Rattus norvegicus: one gene and its partner. The protein of the gene in region 1 purifies or fractionates together with the protein of each later gene. This does not show direct contact. Links are inferred from orthologs where the notes say so. Each region holds a gene or a part of one and is shown in the gene's direction. Other genes may lie near its edges.

Evidence for each region. The genes of interacting proteins can lie anywhere in the genome.
Region 2: the proteins of Zc3hc1 (region 1) and Cul1 purify together in Homo sapiens (affinity purification with western blotting; 3 studies listed by BioGRID, with this or other methods). This does not show direct contact. The link is inferred for Rattus norvegicus from reciprocal best matches to the Homo sapiens genes ZC3HC1 and CUL1.

The regions. Positions count from the first base shown.
Region 1 is NC_086022.1:59,974,682-59,981,120, reverse strand, and holds the start of Zc3hc1 (zinc finger C3HC-type protein 1), read left to right. Parts: upstream 1-1,784; 5' UTR 1,785-1,810; coding exon 1,811-1,956; intron 1,957-3,914; coding exon 3,915-4,026; intron 4,027-6,439. UniProt on the Homo sapiens protein: Required for proper positioning of a substantial amount of TPR at the nuclear basket (NB) through interaction with TPR.
Region 2 is NC_086022.1:77,592,305-77,598,643, forward strand, and holds part of Cul1 (cullin-1), read left to right. Parts: intron 1-1,797; coding exon 1,798-1,848; intron 1,849-2,358; coding exon 2,359-2,449; intron 2,450-3,108; coding exon 3,109-3,272; intron 3,273-6,339. UniProt on the Homo sapiens protein: Core component of multiple cullin-RING-based SCF (SKP1-CUL1-F-box protein) E3 ubiquitin-protein ligase complexes, which mediate the ubiquitination of proteins involved in cell cycle progression, signal transduction and transcription.

The DNA.
Region 1 (6,439 bases):
TTCCAGCTGGAGGTTTTGAAAGATCCTGTGCAGGTTTCTTCCCAACAACCTCATCCTAAGACTGGGTTTCCACCTCGGGAAGCAGATCTCTATGAGTTCAAGGCTAGCCTGGTCTACAGAGTTAGTTCCAGGACAGCCAGAGCTACACTAAGAAACCATATCTGAATAACAAAAACAAGCAAGCAAACAAAATACTGGGGTTCACCCTCCCATCTCTCCTTCTGCTGCTCTATTGAAGAGTGTTCTTTTTAAAAAAAGATTTTACTTGTGTGTGTGTGTGTGTGTGTGTGTGTGAGAGAGAGAGAGAGAGAGAGAGAGAGAGAGAGAGAGCGTGAGCAAGCATAGGCATGTACACATGTTCATGCAGGTGCCTGGAAAAGCAAGGAGGGCATCAGATTCCCTGGAACTGGAATTACAGGTGGTTGTGAGCTGCCCAACACGGGTGCCAGAAACCAAACCAAAAGTACACAGGCTGACTGCACTCTTTTTTTTTTTTTCTGGAGCTGAGGACCGAACTAGGGCCTTGCGCTTGCTAGGCAAGCGCTCTACCACTGAGCTAAATCCCCAACACTGGCTGACCGCACTCTTAACCACTGACTCACCTCTCTAGCTCCCCACCTCCCCCTTTAAAAGAAACGCTTTTGGGTTGGGGTTTTAGCTCAGTGGTAGAGCGCTTGCCTAGGAAGTGCAAGGCCCTGGGTTTGGTCCCCAGCTCCGGGGGGAGAAAAAAATAAATGCTTTTAAGGTTTGTTTATTTAATGTGTATGAATGTTTTGCCTGCCTGTTCTGTATGTGCACCATGTGCCCTTGGAGGTGGAAAGAAAGCCCCAGATCCCCAGAGAAGGGATAGTTATGAACCACCATGTAGATGCTGGGAATGGAATCATGTCCTCTGCAAGATCAACAAATGCTCTTAGCTGCTTAGTCTTCTCTCCAGGCCCACTACCTTTTAAAATGTAACGTAGGCTGACCCTGAACTTTGCAGGTAGACTGGCCTGGAGTTTCTAATACTCCTGCTGCTACCCTTGAGTGGCAGAGACATCAAACAGATGGTTTTCTCAAGACTCTGCAGCCAAATTAGGTCCTCAGTGAGCCTTCTTTGAAGCATGTATAGTCATAATTTTAAAATTATAGGATGGGCTCGGTGGTAGATTGCTTACCTAGCTTGTGTGGGGCCGTGGGTTTGATTCCCCCAGCACTGACATGCACACCTCTCTTGTTCACCATTTTGTCGACAATTCCCAGTACATCAAGGCAATAGTTAATAAATGTTTGCTAAAGAAGGGAGGATGAGGTCAAAGCCATAAACTTCTTCCAATAATAACACAATCCTATGAAGGGTTTCAGATTATTCTCAACTAAACACTGCCATTTCCTTGCCTGGAAAAAAAAATGTAATTTAGGAGAGTCGGTATGACTTTTATTTGTAGGCTGCAATTGAGTCCTTCATCTCTACTGAATCTGGAGTGACTTGGCCTTTAAAACCCTTTACTGTAGTAGCACCCGACTTTATTCCCAGTATTCTGGAAACAGAGGCAGAGGCAGGAGGATCTCTTGAATTCCAGGACTGCATAGAAAACTCTATATATCAAAAAAGAAAACTCTTTGTTAATCTAAATATGCTAATTCATCGGACAAGCAAATAATCTACATTTAGTTTTAAACAATATAATCTTAAATTCTTTTAGATAACCAGGAAAGGGTGGGACTCGCAGTCACTATTTTGATAGGCCGGGGGGCGGGACTTAACTCAGAACGTAAGTTCCTGAGCCTCACAACGCGAGGGAACACAACTCCGGAACGGACCAAGATGGCGGCTTCCTGTGAGGGGCAGCTGTTTGCCGCGGGTATTGAAAAGACTTGGGGTGCAGTCGTTCGTTCCCCTGAAGGGACACCCCAGAAAGTTCGGCAGCTGATAGATGAAGGAATTGTCCCGGAAGAGGGGGGCACAGAACCGTGAGTTGTCCAGGCTGTGGGCGCTGGAGTAGCTTGGGGAACAACGGCCTGGAGCAGGGGGCGGGGAACGCAGGGGGTAACTTCAGTCCGTGACTTGGTGGGTGAGGTTAAATTCTTCCTGAGCTCTGGAAAAAGGCTGGCCTTCTCTGATTGTTTGGCTTCGGAAGCCTACGGTTGTGTCTGACGCCGCATCACTAGCGAAATTTTGAAATAAACCTTTTTTGAGAGAGAAGACTGTTAGCTGAATGAGCAAACCTGACTTCTAAAGCCGTGGGGTCTCACAGTATAGTGAAGCTTAGCAACCCCTTTACCGAAGAACAGTCCTAAGTGTGTAAAGCAAATTACATGGGATTGTAAATGAAACAATCACACAGTAAATTTAGTTAGCAAGATAGTAAAATGAAGTTACGTGGAATTATGCCGTTTCCCTCCCTCACTCCTTCCTTAAATAGTTAATGCTGGGCTGGGAAATAGCTAGCCTAGCGTGCACTGAGCTCAAAATTTGAACCCTAGCACTTTATTCAACTGGTAGCGGTATCATACAACGCTAAGACCTTGGAAGGTGGAGGATCTGAAGTTCCAGGCTAATTTGAGGCCCTGTGCCAGAGAGAGGTGTAGGGATGAGGGAGAGGAGAAAAAGAAATTGTCTAGTAGCATGTCTACAATCAATCATAATTTTGAATTAGTAATACCATGATACTATTTCAAAATATAGTCAGCCTTAATATGAATAAATTTTTTTCTCTTGGTGGCAAATTCACAAATATTTGTTTTATTCGTTTTATGTATGTGAGTACACTATAGCTATCTTTGGGCACACCAGAAGAGGGCATCAGTTCCCATTACAGGTGGTTGTGAGGCACCATGTGGGTGTTGGGAATTGAACTCAGGACCTCTGGAAGAGCAATCAGTGCCCCTTAACTGCTGAGCCATCTCTCCAGCCCATGACTTAAATTTTCTAATTGAGATAGTGTGAAACAAGGGTCCGTGTATGTAACAATATGTAAGCTATTCTTTCTCCTATTGAGAGTTAGATTTATGGGCCAGCAGGATGGCTTATCGGGTAAGGGTGCTTGCCATGGAAGCCTGGTGACCTCAGGTCAAACCCTGAACATCATAAAGGTAGAAGAAAAGATCTGACTCCACAGAGTTCTTCTCTGATTTCTATACACATGCATGGGCACATGCATTCACATATATATTGTACATACACACATGTACACACGCATATTATCCACACTTAAGGAGCTGAGACAGGGACTAGAGAGATGGCTCAGTGGTTAAGAGCACTGACTGCTCTTCCAGAGGTCCTGAGTTCAAATCCCAGCAACCACATGGTGGCTCAGAACCATCTGTAATGGGATCTGATGCCCTCTTCTGGTGTGTCTGAAGACAGCTACAGTATACTTATAAATAAGTCTTATTTGAAAAAAAAAAAAAAGGGTTGGGGATTTAGCTCAGTGGTAGAGCGCTTGCCTAGGAAGCGCAAGGCCCTGGATTCGGTCCCCAGCTCTGGAAAAAAAAAAAAAGAGGCTGAGACAGGAGGATTGCTGAGAATTCCAGGCCAGCCTGGGATATAAAGTGAGATTCTGTCTCATAAATAAATAAATAAATAAATAAATAAAGGAATTATTTCGCTGAAGTGGTTTAAATTGTATTATCAATCAATACCTAAACCCTTGAAGGCCGTACTTTGTGTTTACTAAAGTTATGCAAAATATTGTTGGAGAACTGTGAATGAGCTAGGAGGCTGGCTAAACTGTAGAGTTGGGACTCCCAGATTGAAGAATTTAGAGCCTATTTAGTATTGTGAAGTCGTTGGATATATTAAGCAGAGGGACAGCTTTAGAAACTTAAAATCTAGTTCAGGTTTGATATGTGATGTGTGTGGAATAGTTAGGCTCAGGAGATTTAAGAAGAATGGTACAGAGATCACTAATAGTCCTATTTGGTTTCAGAAAGGACACATCTGCCACATTCCAGTCAGTCGATGGGTCGCCTCAAGCAGAACAGCCTCCACTGGAATCTACAAGCAAAGAAGCCTTTTTTCACAGAGTGGAGACCTTCTCTATATCCTTTTCAGTTTGTGTGTCTCTGCCTGCTGCAGAATTGTTACTATAGAGGCACTGCCTACTGTAGCAGTATGGTAGAGTATAGATACTGCTTACTCTGATCTTTTGTTTTATATGTGTGGGTGTTTTGCCTGTATATTTGTGAACCATGTGCATGCAGTGCCCAAAGTGTCCAAAAAAGAGCATCAGATCCACTGGGATGAGTTACAGCTGACTTACCCACCATGTGAGTGCTAGCAGTTGAACTGGAAGAGTAGCCAGAGCTCTTAACTGTTGAGCCATCTCTCCAGCCTCTTTACTCTGATCTTTTAAACCAAAGAATTAGTATCGGTAAGAACTTTTTTCTGGAAATTAGCACCATTATATAATATTCTGCAAAGTATCAGTTGAGGGATAGATCAAATCTTTTGTTTGTTTGTTTGTTTCTGGGTTTGGGTTTTTTGTTTTCTTTGGTTTTGTTTTTTTGAGACAGGGTTTCTCCATGTAGCCTTGGCTATTCTAGAACTCACTCTGTAGACCAGACGGGCCTTAAACTCACAGAGATCCACATGTCTCTACCTTCCAAGTGCTGGGATTAAAGGCGTGCACAGCCACCACCTGGCTTGGCTTGGTTTGGTTTGGATTGGTTTGATTTGAAATGGTCTGGAACTTGCATCCCTAGACCAACTTCAGACTTGCAGTTCTCCTGCCTTGATCCCAAGTGCTGGGATGATAGGTGGGACCCACCATGTCCAGCTGACCTCTTTTTTTTTTTTTTTTTTTTTTTTTTTTCTTTTTTCTTTTTTTCAGAGCTGGGGACCGAACCCAGTCTACCACTGAGCTAAATCCCCAATCCCCTGACCTCTTTACAGAAGGAAAAAAAACTAAATCCTGAGAGAAGGGGTACCTCTAATGCTTGTGTATAGTATGTTTTCACATGTATGCTTACCTTGGATCTTTAATGACTGTGAAAATAGTATTTTTACTGCCACATTTTTTTTTTTAGTTTGGTTTGGTGAAGGGCAGTGCTAGGAATTGAACCTACTGCCTCATGTATACCAGGCTAATATCCTTATACTGAGCTATGTTCTCTGCCTTGTTATATTCATTTTATAGAGAGCAGATAGGTTACATGGTTTGCCCAAGACATCTGCTAACAGGTAGAGGAGCCAGGACAAGTGTGATGTAATTGAAAGTATGTGACAGCGCCCACTGCCTCCTGCCTCTCCTCCTCCTATGTCCCCACCAGACAGGGTTTCTCTGTTTTAGCTCTGACTGACCTGGAACTCACTCTGTAGGCCCAGCTGTCTTAGAACACCTCCCACGTGCTAGGATTAAAGGCCTGCACCACCACTGCCTGACTTCTTGATCCCTTTTTTTTTTTTTTTTATTCATTTATTATATATAAGTACACTGTAGCTGTCTTCAGATACACCAGAAGAGGGCATCGAATCTCTTTACAGATGGTTGTGAGCCACCATGTGGTTGCTGGGAATTGAACTCAGGACCTCTGGAAGAGTAGTCAGGTGCTCTTAACCGCTGAGCCATCTCTCCAGCCCTCTTGATCCCTTTTTTATATTAGTCATTATTGCATGGCAAACTGCTCTAATATGCAGTGGCTTTAAAGAACTATTATCATAAACTCTGTGGATTATATAACCAGACACAGAGTAGTTTTGTTTTGTTTTATTTTTGTTGTTGCTGGTAGTGGTTGTTTGTTTTATTTTTTCATTTATGCATTTGCTTGTTGTATATGCCATTTGGGGTTAGGGGATGCCCAAGGAGGCCAGAGGAAGGTATCAGACCTAGGGCCAGAGTTACAGGCCTCCAAACATATGTTCTGGGATCCAAACTTGGGTCCTCTAGAAAAGCAGCCACAGGTGCTCCTGTGGCTCTTGAGTATTTCTCCAGCCTAGTGTGTGTTTGTGTGTGTGTGTGTGTGTGTGTGTGTGTGTGTGTGTGTGTGTGTGTGTGTGTGTGTTTTGTTTGTTTAATTTTCTAGGCAGGGTCTTAACTATATAGCTCAAGTTGACATGGAATTCATTATATAGCCCTGAAATCATGATCTTCCTGCCTTTGCCTCCCTGACGTGGGGATTACAGGTGCCTTGGTTCCTTACTACATGGGTTCTTTTGGAGCAGTCCACAACTTGGAAGCTGGCTTCCATCACAATGATCAAGTAAAACAACACTTTGAAAGCCAGACTATTTATTGTTAAATGTTTTTTTTTTTTTCCTTTTTTTTTTTTTTTTTTTTCCTTCGGGGCTGGGGACCGAACCCAGGGCCTTGCGCTCGCTAGGCAAGCTCTTGTTTTGTTTTTTTTGTTTCTTTTTTATTTCTTTTTCGGAGCTGGGGACCGAACCCAGGGCCTTGCGCTCGCTAGGCAAGCACTCTACCGCTGAGCTAAATCCCCAACCCCTTTGTTTTGTTTT
Region 2 (6,339 bases), about 18 Mb from region 1:
ATCCCCGTGCTAGGGAGTCAGGCAGGGATGTGTCTCTGAGTTCAAGGCCATCCTATACCATTTAGAAGTGCAGGCCAGCCAGCACTACATAATGACACCTTGGCTCAAATAAATAAGTAAATAGTAGACAAGAGTCAGCTACTTTTATTACTTTTAAAATCTATTTTCAAACTCCACACTTTCAGTTATCAAATAGTGTAGCCACTGTTTGAAATACAGTATGCAGCCATAAATTCTAACAGAGGACAGTCAGTACCCTTGCCTAGAAATAGTATTCCCATCTGTGTTTCAAGTATGCTGCTTCAAGACCCTGCTCATTTGCTAGCTTGTATCAAAGCCCAGTCTAACAGTTAGAATCTGTGGTTTTATTAATGGCCCAGTCTCCAGCAAATGTGACTGCTTTGTGGGTTCAAGGTCAAGACAGATGATAAAGCTTTTCCTTTAAAAACAAAAAACAAAAAAAACCCTCTTTTCTAAATCCACCCCCCCCTTTAATTAGAGAAAGTTGTTGGTTTGCTTCCAAATCACCCAGAGGATATAAGCTGATTTCATTGTATGTTGAAGTGCTACCAGCAAAATTGTTTCTGTTACCCTGTTGTGAGATTTTTTTGTTTTGCCTTTTATAGCTTTTGACTGCTTTTGCCCTTTGGTTTTATTCCTTTGAAATGACAAATCATCCAGAGTCAGCCTAGGTCTGTCTAAGGTGGGGTTGCTAATTTAGAAAGTAGTTAGAACAAAATCTTTTTTTTTTTTTTTTTTTTTTTTCCGGAGCTGGGGACCAGGACCTTGCGCTTGCTAGCACTCTACCACTGAGCTAAATCCCCAACCCCTACAAAATATTTTTTAAAGTGTAGGGATTCTGTTAGAAGCTAATACCATAGCCTGATATTTTCACTGCTGCCTTACTCCTGTTTGAAGGCTGAAGAAGCAGGGAAGAAAAAGGTTGCTTTTCTCCTAGACAGTGAGGCTGAGTCTTCCAGTACCTTTGCACACCCCAAGCAAGAGTCCCAATAATGCTGGGGCTAGCAGTGCATGCCTTTAACCCCAGCTCTGGGATGCAGAGGCAGGTAGATCTCAGTGAGGCTAGCCGGGATTACATAGGGAAAAAACAGACTCCTCCACAGAAAAAGCATTAAATATTGATTTTTATGGCATTTATTTTATTGGAGACACCTATTTTATTCATATACCTAGTACCTACATAAAACCCATGAGCTTGGGCTTGCTGCTGCCAGTCTCTTGGCGAGAGAGTTAATAAGGTGGAGAGTGATAGAGCAGGATAGGTAAAGTCCTCGCCTCCTCTCCATCCACCTGTTCTGCATCTTCATGTGCTCATGTGAGCATCTTCCATGTACACACAAATGTATGTTTCACACGGTCACCTGAAGACACAAAGTACAGCGGGAGGTCTTGATTTGTGTACAAGAAACTGCATTTAAAATGCACAATCAAGATAGTAAGATTTTTATAATCTCTGAAACATATCTTGTTGTGTTAGGAAACTGTGGGAGTGACTAGAATTATTTTTATCAGGTGTTCCTGGTCAAAACTGGTCGGATCCAGGGAATACATTTATAGGTTGAATCTATTGATGGTTTTTAAGCTGATACAAATGTCCTCCTTAACTTAGAATTTTCTGAACCTTGTTGTTAAATGTAAGAAGGTAAACATCTATACAAAATGATTAAGAGCAGCTTTGATTTCATTGTGATATCTAAAGATTTATTAAGAATTCAGATTGTTGTCAGTGACAAGTTTCAGGGATATTCAATACATCTTTTCCCCTTTTTCATCCAGCTTGCGTTGGTGACATGGAGAGATTGTTTGTTCAGGCCATTGAATAAACAGGTATCTACTATGGGATATGTCTGTGTTTCCTTAAAAAAAAAAACTTTCCATTTTTATCTTCTCAAGCTTTTTGACTATCTCAAGAGTATTTGTTGGGCTGGGGATATGGCTTAGTCTGTACAGCACTTGCTATGCAAGCATGCGAACATGGGGTAGATCCCCTGTACCCATTGGAAGAAAGCAGGTATAGTGATGCCCACTAGTGACCCAGCACTGGAAAAGTGTGGTCAAGTAGATCCTTAGTGCTTCCTGGCCAGGTCCCGGCTTGCCTCCTGAATGAGCTCCATGGCACTGAGTGGCGACTGTCTTAAAGGCACGGTCAATTACTCTTGGCAAACAGGTTTGGAAATTGTCCTCAGTCTTTGCATACACATGCATAGACATGCATGTACTCATCCCCCTAAAATATTTATTACCTTGTATTATTTAGTGACTTAAAATGTTTAAAGGATATATAAGATACATTGTGAGCTGTATTATCTGCCTTATACCTTTTGTGTGTTCTTAAAGGTAACAAATGCTGTTTTAAAACTGATTGAGAAGGAAAGAAATGGCGAAACCATCAATACAAGACTGATTAGTGGAGTTGTACAATCTTATGGTAAATAATTTGCCTTTATTCAATAGTTTTTGTATCACATGACAATTATAATAGTGCTCTAATATTAATTTAAAATATTTATTAGAAATTATCAGGAATGTTAATTCATCTTTAAGGTACTTTTAAGTAATTTTATAAATCATAAAAAATATTTAATCTTTGTACTTTAAGGAAATTTTGTGGAAAAATTGAATTGTATTTCCTTCTCTGTTTTCATGAGGAATTACTTATATATAATTGTTCTTTTGAGCTACATGATAACCAGAAACTATATCAGCTTGAAAAATTTGAGATTGAGATACTGATTAAGTGATGCTTTGTTGAAGCTTGGGTGGGTTTGCATTTCTGTGAAAGTTTACAAGCAATATTTATATCACTTTTGGAAGTGCAAACTTTCTCTAACTAAACTTGTAATATTGGAGTATCCCTGGCACAGGTTAAGGATGATTTGCTGCTATACATCTTGGAGTTCATTCTTTTTATTTTTTCTTTTATTAAAACAAGCATACTTTAGTACTAGCAAATAATAGTTACCTTATAACCCTCCATTTCACATTGATCTTTTAAGTGTAACTTAAACTGACTGCTACACTAAAGTATTGTCTGTAAAATATAACAAAAAATATGGTAATTGAAATATAGCTCCTATTTATTTCTAGTGGAATTGGGACTGAATGAAGATGATGCATTTGCAAAGGGCCCTACGTTAACAGTGTATAAAGAATCCTTTGAATCTCAATTTTTGGCTGACACAGAGAGATTTTATACCAGAGAAAGTACTGAATTCTTACAGCAGAACCCAGTTACTGAATATATGAAAAAGGTAAGCTTAAACATAATATAAAGTAGATATAAGTTAAATAGTCATCACTCCTCCAGGGAGTTCTTGGCATTGCAGTGTTCCTCACTTGGCAGGCTTGGCACTGCAGTCACACCATGTCAGCAGGTTTCACTCTTAGAACTCTCTGAAGAACTTTTATAAATTGAGACTCATTAGTGAGTGTTCCCTGCATATACAAGGAGATGCCTGATAGTAGCTGCATGCCTTCCATGTTTTTGTATCGTCTCCCCTTGAAGCGTGGACCTCAGGATTTTATGTCAGTGAGAAAATACACAGGTATTCCTAGATTTGCTACTTTTTTGTTTTTGCTGGTTTTCTCCTAAAATATTCCCTAAGAGTCATAGTTTAGCCCTTCAAGATTAAATTAGGAGGGAGGATGTAAATTTGACTTAGGAGAAGATCCAAGGTGGAGCCATGTATTCTAACTTGCTCTTTACTACACGGTGCTTCCATGACCTTCTAATAGGAGTTATCTTTGCTCTCTTTTTGGGAAATTCAGGGATTCTGGATATTGGGTCTGAGGAACGACTATGTCGGGAGTTGACAAGCTTTCTGCTATATAGTACTGGCCAGTAAATAATCTTTAGGCTTCTCAGCCTATATAGGATCTCTTCTGTCATTGTTCAACTGTACTTTTAAAAAACAAAAGCAGTCATGGAAATGTAGAAATAAGCCGGAAACAGGTGCAGCAGGATTTCCCAGCAGACTACAGTTTGATGACCCTCTCACCTGTATGTACTAAATTTTTAAGAGTCTAGGTCATACCAATCTAATACCTACTTTGCCCTCTCTTGGGCAGGAAATGGACTGCCAAGTCATTTCCGTGTTTAAAGAAAGAAAATATAGGGTTGGGGATTTAGCTCAGTGGTAGAGCGCTTGCTAGAGGCCCTGGGTTTGGTCCCCAGCTCCAAAAAAAAGAAAAGAAAAAAAAAAAAAGAAAGAAAGAAAATATAAGCACAACCACTCTGCTTCTGATACTTATTTGTTTTTTTCTTTTTTTTTTTTTTCGGAGCTGGGGACCGAACCCAGGGCCTTGCACTTGCTAGGCAAGCGCTCTACCGCTAAGCTAAATCCCCAACCCCCTCTGCTTCTGATATTTAGAGAAAGCCATGCCTAGCTTGCGGTGTTCACAGTGTATCTTCGTATGGTGAGCTAATACAGTGAATATAAGTGGGCCTTCTAAGTTTGAAATTAAAATTCAATTACACATTTCTGATATCTCAGAATTCAACAGAAGTAGAACTAGTATATGTGGGATAGTGGTGGTTCTTTGTAGTAGATCTTTGTTTTTTGTATGTGACTGAAACCTAACCAGCTCCTTAAGGGTATTTGAGACATAATCTGTTTTGAATCCTGGTATTGCTCATTATTTAGTTTTGTAGTATGACTGTAGTTTTTATAAACAGGCCTCTTACTGACTCAGTTTTAATTTTTTTTGCACTTTATTTTGTATATGCATGTGTATATAATGTGTATATAATGTGTCTCTGGGTGTGTACATGAACAATGTATGTGTGCCATGTTAGCATATGCATAGACTGTTTTTTTTTTACCATATAGGCACCAGGGATCGAGTTTAGGTCATCAGGCTTAGCAGCAAGCACCCTTAATACTACTGAGCCATTTTGCCAGCCCAGTAATGATTTTTTTTTCTTAAGCTATATCTTTAAAGTAGAATCTTCCCTAACATTGCACACCTCTATGGTGCCAGCCTGCTCTTTGTAGACGACTTTATGATCTGTGGTGATGTCTGCTGCCCATGCAGATAAGAGTAGTAGTAGTAGTACCTCAGCATGAGGAAAATAACTTTTAGGATAGTGCTGCATATACACTCTAAACAAGGAAGTCTGTTTTTTGAAGTTTGGCAACTTCAAAAGTAACAGTGTCTGGTGGGTTGGTGCTTGCAATCAAACCTCTCCTTCACACTCCAGGAAATTCTCTAAAAGCATTAAAAGTTTGGTCCTGACCCACTTAGAAGTCTTACTAAACACAGCTTGTCATCTTGTTCAGGGAACCCATAATTCAGGGTCTACAAAACAAACAGTATAGAGGTAATCTTATATCCTTGTATCTCAAACTGGGTCACCAGTTTTCAAGATTAAAGAATGACCTTAACCGTTATGTTCCTTAGTTTCTTCACCTGTGAAAGGAGAATAATATTTTAGTGAACGTTACTTTTAAAATAATGTAAAAGGAGATTTGAAATTATGTATGCGTTGAATATCTATATTAAAGGCTCTATAGAAAAGTGTAGCAAAGCAAACATAATGGAGGACTTTGACCTTACACATGCATACCTCAGAGTCTCCAGCTTGTGCCTGGGCAGGCATAGGACTGCCAGAAAAAAGTTGACAATTTCAATAACTTGAGGAAAAGTTACATTGATATTAAAAAAGTTAAGTAATACAACATCCCAGGAATAATTTTGAGGTAAAGATTAGCTTTCAGGAAATATCGTGCTTTCAATAGCCAATTTGGGCTAGATATTACAGTCCCTAGAGGTCTCTGTTCAGTTTGCTGTCATCAGGTACGTGTATTTTAGTGTAAACAGTTACTAATGGTTGGTCCATCCATAGATGCCTTTGATGGCTGAAAAGTTACAAGCCATATTTACACTTTAAAATTAATCTCGTGATTGAGACTAATCTGACTTAGAAAAAACAAAAAATAAATGTTTGAATATTTTAAATTTCTAATTATTTTATTATTTAAAAATAAAATATGAGCTTAAAAGATTGCTCAGGGGGTTGGGGATTTAGCTCAGTGGTAGAGCACTTGCCTAGCAAGCACAAGGCCCTGGGTTCGGTTCCCAGCTCCGGAAAAAAAAAAAAAAAGAAAAAGAAAAAAGATTGCTCAGCAGTTAAAAGGGTAGGTATTGCTCTTGCAGAGGACTTGGGTTTGATTTCCACATAATGGATCATAGCCATGTGTAACCATAGTTCTGAGAGATCCAGCATCCTCTTCTGGTCTCTGTGTGTACTTCATGCATATCCTGTACTTGTAGTCAAAACATTCACATTAAAAAAAGAAAGAAAATACCTTACTAACT